2 linked regions of the Saccharomyces cerevisiae S288C genome follow. The gene in region 2 interacts genetically with the main gene of each other region. Each region holds a gene or a part of one and is shown on either strand. Other genes may lie near its edges.

Region 1 (3,156 bases), on a different chromosome or scaffold from region 2:
CAAGTCCAGCTTCCATAACTGCTTCCGCAGAGCTCCAATCTACTAGTGCTAAAAGAAGGTTCTCGATCACGGAAGAAGCAATCGCTGATAATTTAGATGCCGCGGAGGATGCAATTCCAGAACAGCCTTTGGAACAAAAATTGATGTCTTCAAGGCCACCAAGAGAACTTGTTGCTCCAGGCGCCATCCAGAATTTGATCCGTAGTAACAATCCATTCCGCGGAAGACATATATTGTCTATCAAACAATTCAAACGTTCTGATTTCCATGTGTTGTTTGCTGTTGCACAAGAACTAAGGGCAGCTGTCGCAAGAGAAGGTGTCTTAGATTTAATGAAAGGCCACGTTATTACTACAATTTTCTTTGAACCATCTACTCGTACTTGTTCTTCATTCATTGCTGCTATGGAACGTTTGGGTGGTAGAATTGTAAATGTTAATCCATTGGTGTCTTCTGTCAAGAAAGGTGAAACCCTTCAAGATACTATCAGAACTTTGGCTTGTTACAGTGATGCCATTGTCATGCGTCATTCAGAAGAAATGTCTGTTCATATCGCCGCTAAATATTCTCCTGTTCCAATTATTAATGGTGGTAATGGTTCTCGCGAGCATCCTACGCAGGCCTTCTTGGATTTGTTTACGATTCGTGAAGAAATCGGTACTGTTAATGGTATTACTGTTACTTTCATGGGTGATCTCAAACATGGTAGAACCGTACATTCATTGTGTCGTTTGTTAATGCACTATCAAGTCAGAATTAATCTTGTTTCTCCTCCGGAATTGAGGTTACCAGAAGGATTAAGAGAAGAGCTAAGAAAAGCTGGCTTACTTGGTGTTGAGAGCATTGAATTAACCCCTCATATCATCTCAAAGACCGATGTTCTGTATTGTACAAGGGTCCAAGAAGAAAGATTCAATAGCCCTGAAGAATATGCACGTCTGAAGGATACTTATATCGTGGACAACAAGATCTTGGCACACGCCAAAGAAAATATGGCTATCATGCATCCATTGCCTCGTGTAAATGAAATCAAAGAGGAAGTGGACTACGATCATCGTGCTGCTTACTTCAGACAAATGAAGTATGGTTTGTTCGTCAGAATGGCTTTGTTGGCCATGGTCATGGGTGTTGATATGTGAATGATAAGAGACCTATCCGTATTTTAAATTTATAATCTATTATTAAACTTTTTTAACCAATATTTTTATTTGTATATTACACTCAATAATATGATTTCCCAAAGTCGAGTTTTTATTTAAAACAAAAGATGGAATGATTTTGTAAACAAATTTTCTTGAGGAAACAAAAAATGTTTAAGGCATAGGAGTTGAAGGTAATCTCGTTCCTTTTGTCTAGTTTTCATCCTGAGCTCTTGAATTTTACCTGAATTTTCCCGCGACGGTAAGAACTTTAAGGGTCTAAAAAAGTAAGTTCAGAAAACTATAACAGCTATATATCACAAAATGCATACCTGATGCATACACAGTAAGGAGGTAACATCAGGTCCGTGGATATGTTAAAAGTTCCTTTGAGTGATGTTCTTTCACAGAAGATGCTGTTTTTAAAAAGTTTTAGATATTTTCATTGCACAAAATACTTCAGCAGAGACAATGCATCATCTACCACAGATATATTTCGCAACGCAATGAAACGTAAACGTGAGCTGGCAAATCTTAAAGAGCAAAGTCATGGAAATGTGGCAAGAAATGCTGCTTTTCCTAAAGAGTATATTAAGCGCCCGAAACAAGTGCCAAGGAATGCTACTAACAGGAAAAAAATCCTGATTACTTGGAGCACCGGGACAGATCGAGCTAAAGAGGCAGCTAATTCAGTTGTTAGTGAGATATTCAAAAAAAATCACAAGGGAAACATCAAAGTTGTGGATCCCACTACCCACCGAATTGAAGCATCCAATATTCGGTATTTTGCCAAGGGCATTGATCTCGATAAAGTTGGACTCAGTATTGTTAATGTAGAGCAAATCGATAATGAAAATCAAATTCCACTTGTTAAGATAGTCGAAAGTCGTGTAGCCTTAAAAAAATATTCAGACTTTCTGGCTAAAAAAAAGGAAAAGGAACTGATGGAATTGGGAGTACTGAATAAGTCTTACAAGAATTTGGTGACTGATAAAAAAGAAGATAACTTGAAGCATATTAAAATATCATGGCAGATTGAAAGCGATGATTTAAAAAGGCAGAAGGCTCACGAAATAGTTTCGCTATTGAAAAAAGGGAATAAAGTAACGTTATATCTTGATGACAAGAATAACATAAATTCAAACAATTGGCTTGAAAATTTTGAGGAGCTGGACCGCTCTCAAAAAGGTGAACCACCCAGGCTACCAGAATCAGTTTTCCAGAAAAGAGCTGCTGTCTTGGAGACATTGAAAGAGATAGTTAGCGAATATGCTAATGATCCTGTTCTGCTAGGTAACATGAACTCGAAAATGATAATGAAACTTATACCAAAGGACGTTAAACCACAAAACAACGATAAGAGGGCGTTAAAGGAATTGAGAAAGAAGGAGAGGCAAGAAAAATTGCAAAAAAGGATTCAGAGAAAAAAAATGAATGAAATGTAAATAGAAGCAAATGACATCAGAATATATATAGCGCATATTGCCAAATATGCTTTTCAAGTATTAAATTAATGTAATTGAACTAAACCGATGCTTGTACATAATAACTTATCATTAAAGTACCAGGATTCTACCGGTTAGCTGCATGTGATCAAAATTTCCATACCCATATTGGGGAATGCCTACTATAAGGTGATTTTGGGGACCCAAAATCATGCTATTACCAAAATTTGACACACCCTTGCTACTTTTGTCAGGATTTATGAGCATGAGATGCCTTAAATTATTAATCAAAAGGGTTTTGCGCTTCGGATCGTTTCCCGCCTTTAATAGCTCATCCATACTAATTTTCCATATACTTCCTCTTGCATCGAAACTGCCTGGGGAGGAAACGTACAATTTCTTTTCTTCGTCATTAAACAGCAAAGATGAACCAAACTCATCCGGGATTGAATCTGATTTTGTCTTAATCTTTAGAACCAGTTTTAAGAAAAACTCTATTTGCCCAGACTTCTCAATATATATAAACACAGTGTCAAACATTGGTTGAGATACGGCTACAAAACTCATACCTT
Region 2 (4,967 bases):
TATATGTGATCAATTGGAGATAAACCATCAGTAATAACATTTCTCTCGTACCATTTCTCGTATTTGGATGGGTTAACTTGTAAAGCATTCGCATCATATGACACTAGATCTGGATAATACTTGACAACATTTTCGTTCGAGAGCTCTTCATGTATTCGTGCTAAAACTATTAGTAGAAATTCCTGTGTATCCTGTTGATCATCTGGGATGTTCAAATCTGGCCTTAACTTCTTGCACATTTTTAAGAATCTATTTGGTATAATCGCTCTTCCTCCATTCAAATACATTTTTTTGAACAAAACGTAAATCGAGCGGGAAAGTTGGACTTCTTTCGGATATTTGTTAGTATTGAGGAATAGCCTATATTTCTTGGTTAAAAACAAATCCCGAAATAAGGTAGTGCCAAACAGACATTGAATTATACTGTTAATATAGCATGTATTGCATGGATTTTGCAGGCCAGTAATAGATAACTCTGATAACAGATCATTAGAATCTTCAATTACTGGTAGATTGTAAGCTTTCGGGGCCGAAGATTCTATGGCCTCGATCTTTCCTTCTTCCTCCTTTGGCTTTTCCACCTTGGATAAAGAGGATGAAGAATCTTGGCTAGAATCTCTGATTTGTGACGAAACCTCCAAGGAGTGCACGGGGGGAGCAGTTGCTGGACTAGACAGCGTTTTGAATAATGCATCCTTTCCAGTACTGAGTTTTAAATACGAGGGTTTTGATAATGCTTCTTTGCTTGTGTAGTACGCCACTTCAGAACCAGCTTCCAATTTATTACTTGATGCTATCTGATTACTTTCCCTGACTATGTCCTCTTTCGAATTATCATTTGTTGGTTTTGTTAGCTCATTCGGTATTTCATGTAGTGAGCCATCAAACTTGTTATGTATTGACAAAGAGGCCATATGAACAGGTAAAGGCCGTAGCGGTAAGGAGTAGGCTCTTTTTCTTTTTATGGTCCTGCAAATTCCGTTTGACTCCGCTAAATACCGGTCAACAATAACAGTACTTTCATCTCTTACCACTTTTAACACATAACCCATCACGTGTTCGTCTTGATAGTCGTTTTTTAGCTTTGCGTAACTGCTGTAGAGATTATTTCTTGTTTGGAATTGTAACGATTGTGGAATAATAAGGTACAGATAATAACAACCAATAATAAATGCTGTCAAAGCTTCCATTTCCTGATTGATTTCTAAATCCCTCAGGTAAACATTAAACAGATGAGCAGCATGGTCTAACAATCCTCTTAAGTTCTTTAGCCGTAATTGCGAATAAAACTGTTTAATATCTACTTCATATACTTTTCGAACTAGGTTTAGAATTTGATCTGGGTTTAATAACATTGTCTTTATGACTTCCGATTTAGCGAAAAGAAAACGGAAAGTAAGATCAATGCCACGGTTATTTAGTTTACTGAAGATCCTGAAAGACTACTAGCAGTAGCAGTAACCTTTCAGAGCTTATAATCAACCTAATGATTACTCAGCGCACAATCTAAAAGGGTTTCTCAACTAATTCTCGAAGAAATGTCAATCCCTTTTTTAAGCACTCCGGAAAAACTTTATAATAGATGTGGGGAAATCACCTTTGACGATGTGCAACGGAGAAACTATTTTTTTTTTTCTTTTTTTCTTTTTTTTTTTTTTTTTGGTCCGAACAATGCGATGAGCCAGACGAAGAAAAAAATAAAAAATGAGAATGAGTAATTATGTTAAGACCTTTAGAAGAAATAGGGTCCAGTCACAGAATAAAGCCCCAGGAAACTTTAAAGCAATCGAAATTAACCAGCTATATTTATATAATAAGAAATTTTTCTTATTAGTTTACTATAAAGGACTAGTGTACGTTTTTTGTGTTTAATTATTTGCTTTCTGATAATCCGGTTTGCTGATTTGAATCGTTCTCTGCAACAATTGTTGATCTCTAGTGGGGTAAACAAAATTAGTTTTGTTTAAAACTTTTGTTGTAGCGTTTTTGCTCTTTTTTTTTTATCGCAGAATACATTTTATCGAGAATGTCGAATATAAGTACCAAAGATATACGAAAAAGTAAGCCAAAAAGAGGATCCGGCTTCGATTTACTTGAAGTGACTGAATCACTTGGCTATCAGACACACAGGAAAAATGGAAGAAATTCATGGTCAAAGGACGACGATAATATGCTACGATCGCTAGTAAACGAATCCGCAAAGGAGTTAGGCTATGAGAATGGACTTGAAGACGTAAAAACAATTCAACAATCCAACCATCTTTCTAAATGTATTGCTTGGGATGTTTTAGCTACACGATTCAAACACACCGTAAGAACTTCAAAGGATGTAAGAAAGCGTTGGACAGGATCTCTGGACCCAAACTTGAAGAAAGGTAAATGGACACAAGAAGAGGATGAGCAGCTCTTGAAAGCTTATGAAGAACATGGGCCTCACTGGCTGAGTATCTCCATGGATATCCCTGGAAGAACAGAGGATCAATGTGCGAAAAGGTACATTGAAGTGTTGGGACCTGGAAGTAAAGGTAGATTAAGAGAATGGACGCTCGAGGAAGATTTAAATCTGATAAGTAAAGTGAAGGCATACGGCACGAAATGGAGAAAGATTTCGTCGGAAATGGAATTCAGACCAAGTTTAACGTGCAGGAACAGATGGCGGAAAATTATTACTATGGTTGTGCGAGGACAAGCATCAGAAGTAATAACAAAGGCTATAAAAGAAAACAAGAACATAGACATGACAGACGGAAAACTCCGACAACATCCAATCGCCGATTCTGATATACGCTCAGATTCTACACCGAATAAAGAAGAACAGTTGCAGCTATCTCAACAGAACAACCCTTCATTGATAAAGCAGGATATATTGAATGTTAAAGAGAACGAATCGAGCAAACTACCAAGATTAAAGGATAATGATGGACCCATTTTAAATGACAGCAAGCCACAAGCATTACCTCCCTTAAAAGAGATATCTGCACCTCCACCAATCAGGATGACGCAAGTCGGTCAGACTCATACCAGTGGTAGCATTAGGAGCAAAGTATCTTTACCAATTGAAGGTCTTTCTCAAATGAACAAGCAAAGTCCTGGAGGAATCTCAGATAGCCCACAGACAAGCCTTCCCCCAGCATTCAATCCAGCATCTCTCGATGAGCATATGATGAATAGTAATAGTATTTCAGATTCTCCGAAGCATGCTTATTCTACTGTGAAAACTAGAGAACCAAATTCCTCTAGCACACAATGGAAATTTACATTAAAAGATGGTCAAGGTTTGTCAATTTCTAACGGAACTATTGACAGCACAAAATTAGTAAAAGAATTGGTTGACCAAGCTAAGAAGTACTCTTTAAAAATTTCGATACATCAACATATTCACAATCATTATGTTACATCCACAGACCATCCTGTCAGCAGCAATACTGGATTGTCAAATATAGGAAATATAAATGGAAACCCTCTATTAATGGATAGTTTCCCACATATGGGTAGACAACTGGGAAATGGTCTTCCAGGGTTAAATTCAAATAGTGACACTTTTAACCCAGAATATAGGACTTCTCTGGACAACATGGATAGCGATTTTTTATCAAGAACACCCAACTATAACGCATTCAGCTTGGAAGCAACTTCACACAATCCCGCTGACAATGCAAATGAACTTGGTTCACAAAGCAATAGAGAAACAAACAGCCCGTCTGTATTTTATCCTCAAGCAAATACATTGATCCCAACTAATTCTACCGCTACAAATAATGAAATCATTCAAGGAAACGTTAGTGCTAATAGTATGTCACCGAATTTCAATGGAACAAATGGCAAGGCACCAAGTTCGACGGCATCATATACAACGAGCGGTTCAGAAATGCCACCTGATGTAGGTCCTAATAGAATAGCGCATTTCAACTATTTGCCACCAACTATACGGCCTCATTTAGGCTCATCAGATGCGACAAGAGGTGCTGACTTGAATAAGTTACTCAATCCATCTCCAAATTCAGTAAGAAGTAACGGCAGTAAAACTAAGAAAAAAGAAAAAAGAAAAAGTGAATCATCTCAGCATCATTCTTCATCATCTGTGACAACCAATAAATTCAATCACATTGATCAGTCGGAGATATCAAGGACTACATCCAGATCTGATACTCCATTGAGAGATGAAGACGGCCTGGATTTTTGGGAAACGTTAAGATCCTTGGCTACTACGAATCCAAATCCTCCAGTTGAAAAGTCAGCTGAAAATGATGGTGCCAAGCCTCAAGTGGTACATCAAGGGATTGGCTCACATACAGAAGATAGCAGCCTAGGTTCCCATAGCGGAGGATACGATTTTTTTAACGAACTGTTGGATAAAAAGGCAGATACACTGCATAATGAGGCTAAGAAGACGAGCGAGCATGATATGACGTCAGGAGGTTCTACCGATAATGGGTCAGTCCTGCCACTGAATCCTAGTTGAGAAGGCAAGGCCGAAAAAAAACACAAATCTTTCAATTGTTTAACATATTAGTTTTGTAATAAGCATAAGTGTATATTATACATAGCACAAGATGGATAATATTCTCTGAAAAAAACGTGTAGTTTCATGACTCGCATTTTTTTTTTTTTTTCTTTCATGTTGATTAACATACTTGAATTCTGTATTTAAGCTGTATAAAAAGTTGTTCTATTTCATATACGGCGATTTTGCATAATTAAGAACTTTGCCTTGTACACTATTTTACTAGGGTATTCTTCCAAGATTTCTCTTCTTATTTTTTCCCTTTATAAGTCATTGTAGCAACATAATTTCCTGGAAATTTTAAGGGAATATATTTCTTTCCGCCCACAAACACAAAGGGCGTTTAGTAAATTATGCGGCGATGTATAAAAGAGAAAGCAGGCAAAAAGAAAATGAAAAATGAGACTATGAACTTTAAGAATTATGTCTTGACTAATTTTTTAAAACCCATCATCCATGAAGA

The links. A genetic interaction does not mean that the proteins touch.
Region 1: mutations in BAS1 (region 2) and AIM23 together harm fitness more than expected from each alone (negative genetic interaction), as found in Saccharomyces cerevisiae (one large-scale study listed by BioGRID).

Annotation. Positions count from the first base shown.
Region 1 is NC_001142.9:163,706-166,861, reverse strand, and holds AIM23 (Aim23p), read left to right. Parts: upstream 1-1,513; coding exon 1,514-2,584; downstream 2,585-3,156. Other genes in the region: URA2 (bifunctional carbamoylphosphate synthetase/aspartate transcarbamylase), read left to right, coding at 1-1,139; YJL132W (uncharacterized protein), read right to left, coding at 2,696-3,156.
Region 2 is NC_001143.9:633,825-638,791, forward strand, and holds BAS1 (Bas1p), read left to right. Parts: upstream 1-2,026; coding exon 2,027-4,462; downstream 4,463-4,967. Other genes in the region: ubiquitin-specific protease UBP11, read right to left, coding at 1-1,355. UniProt on the Saccharomyces cerevisiae protein: Activates HIS4 transcription only in combination with PHO2/BAS2. BAS1 is also involved in the regulation of the purine biosynthesis pathway.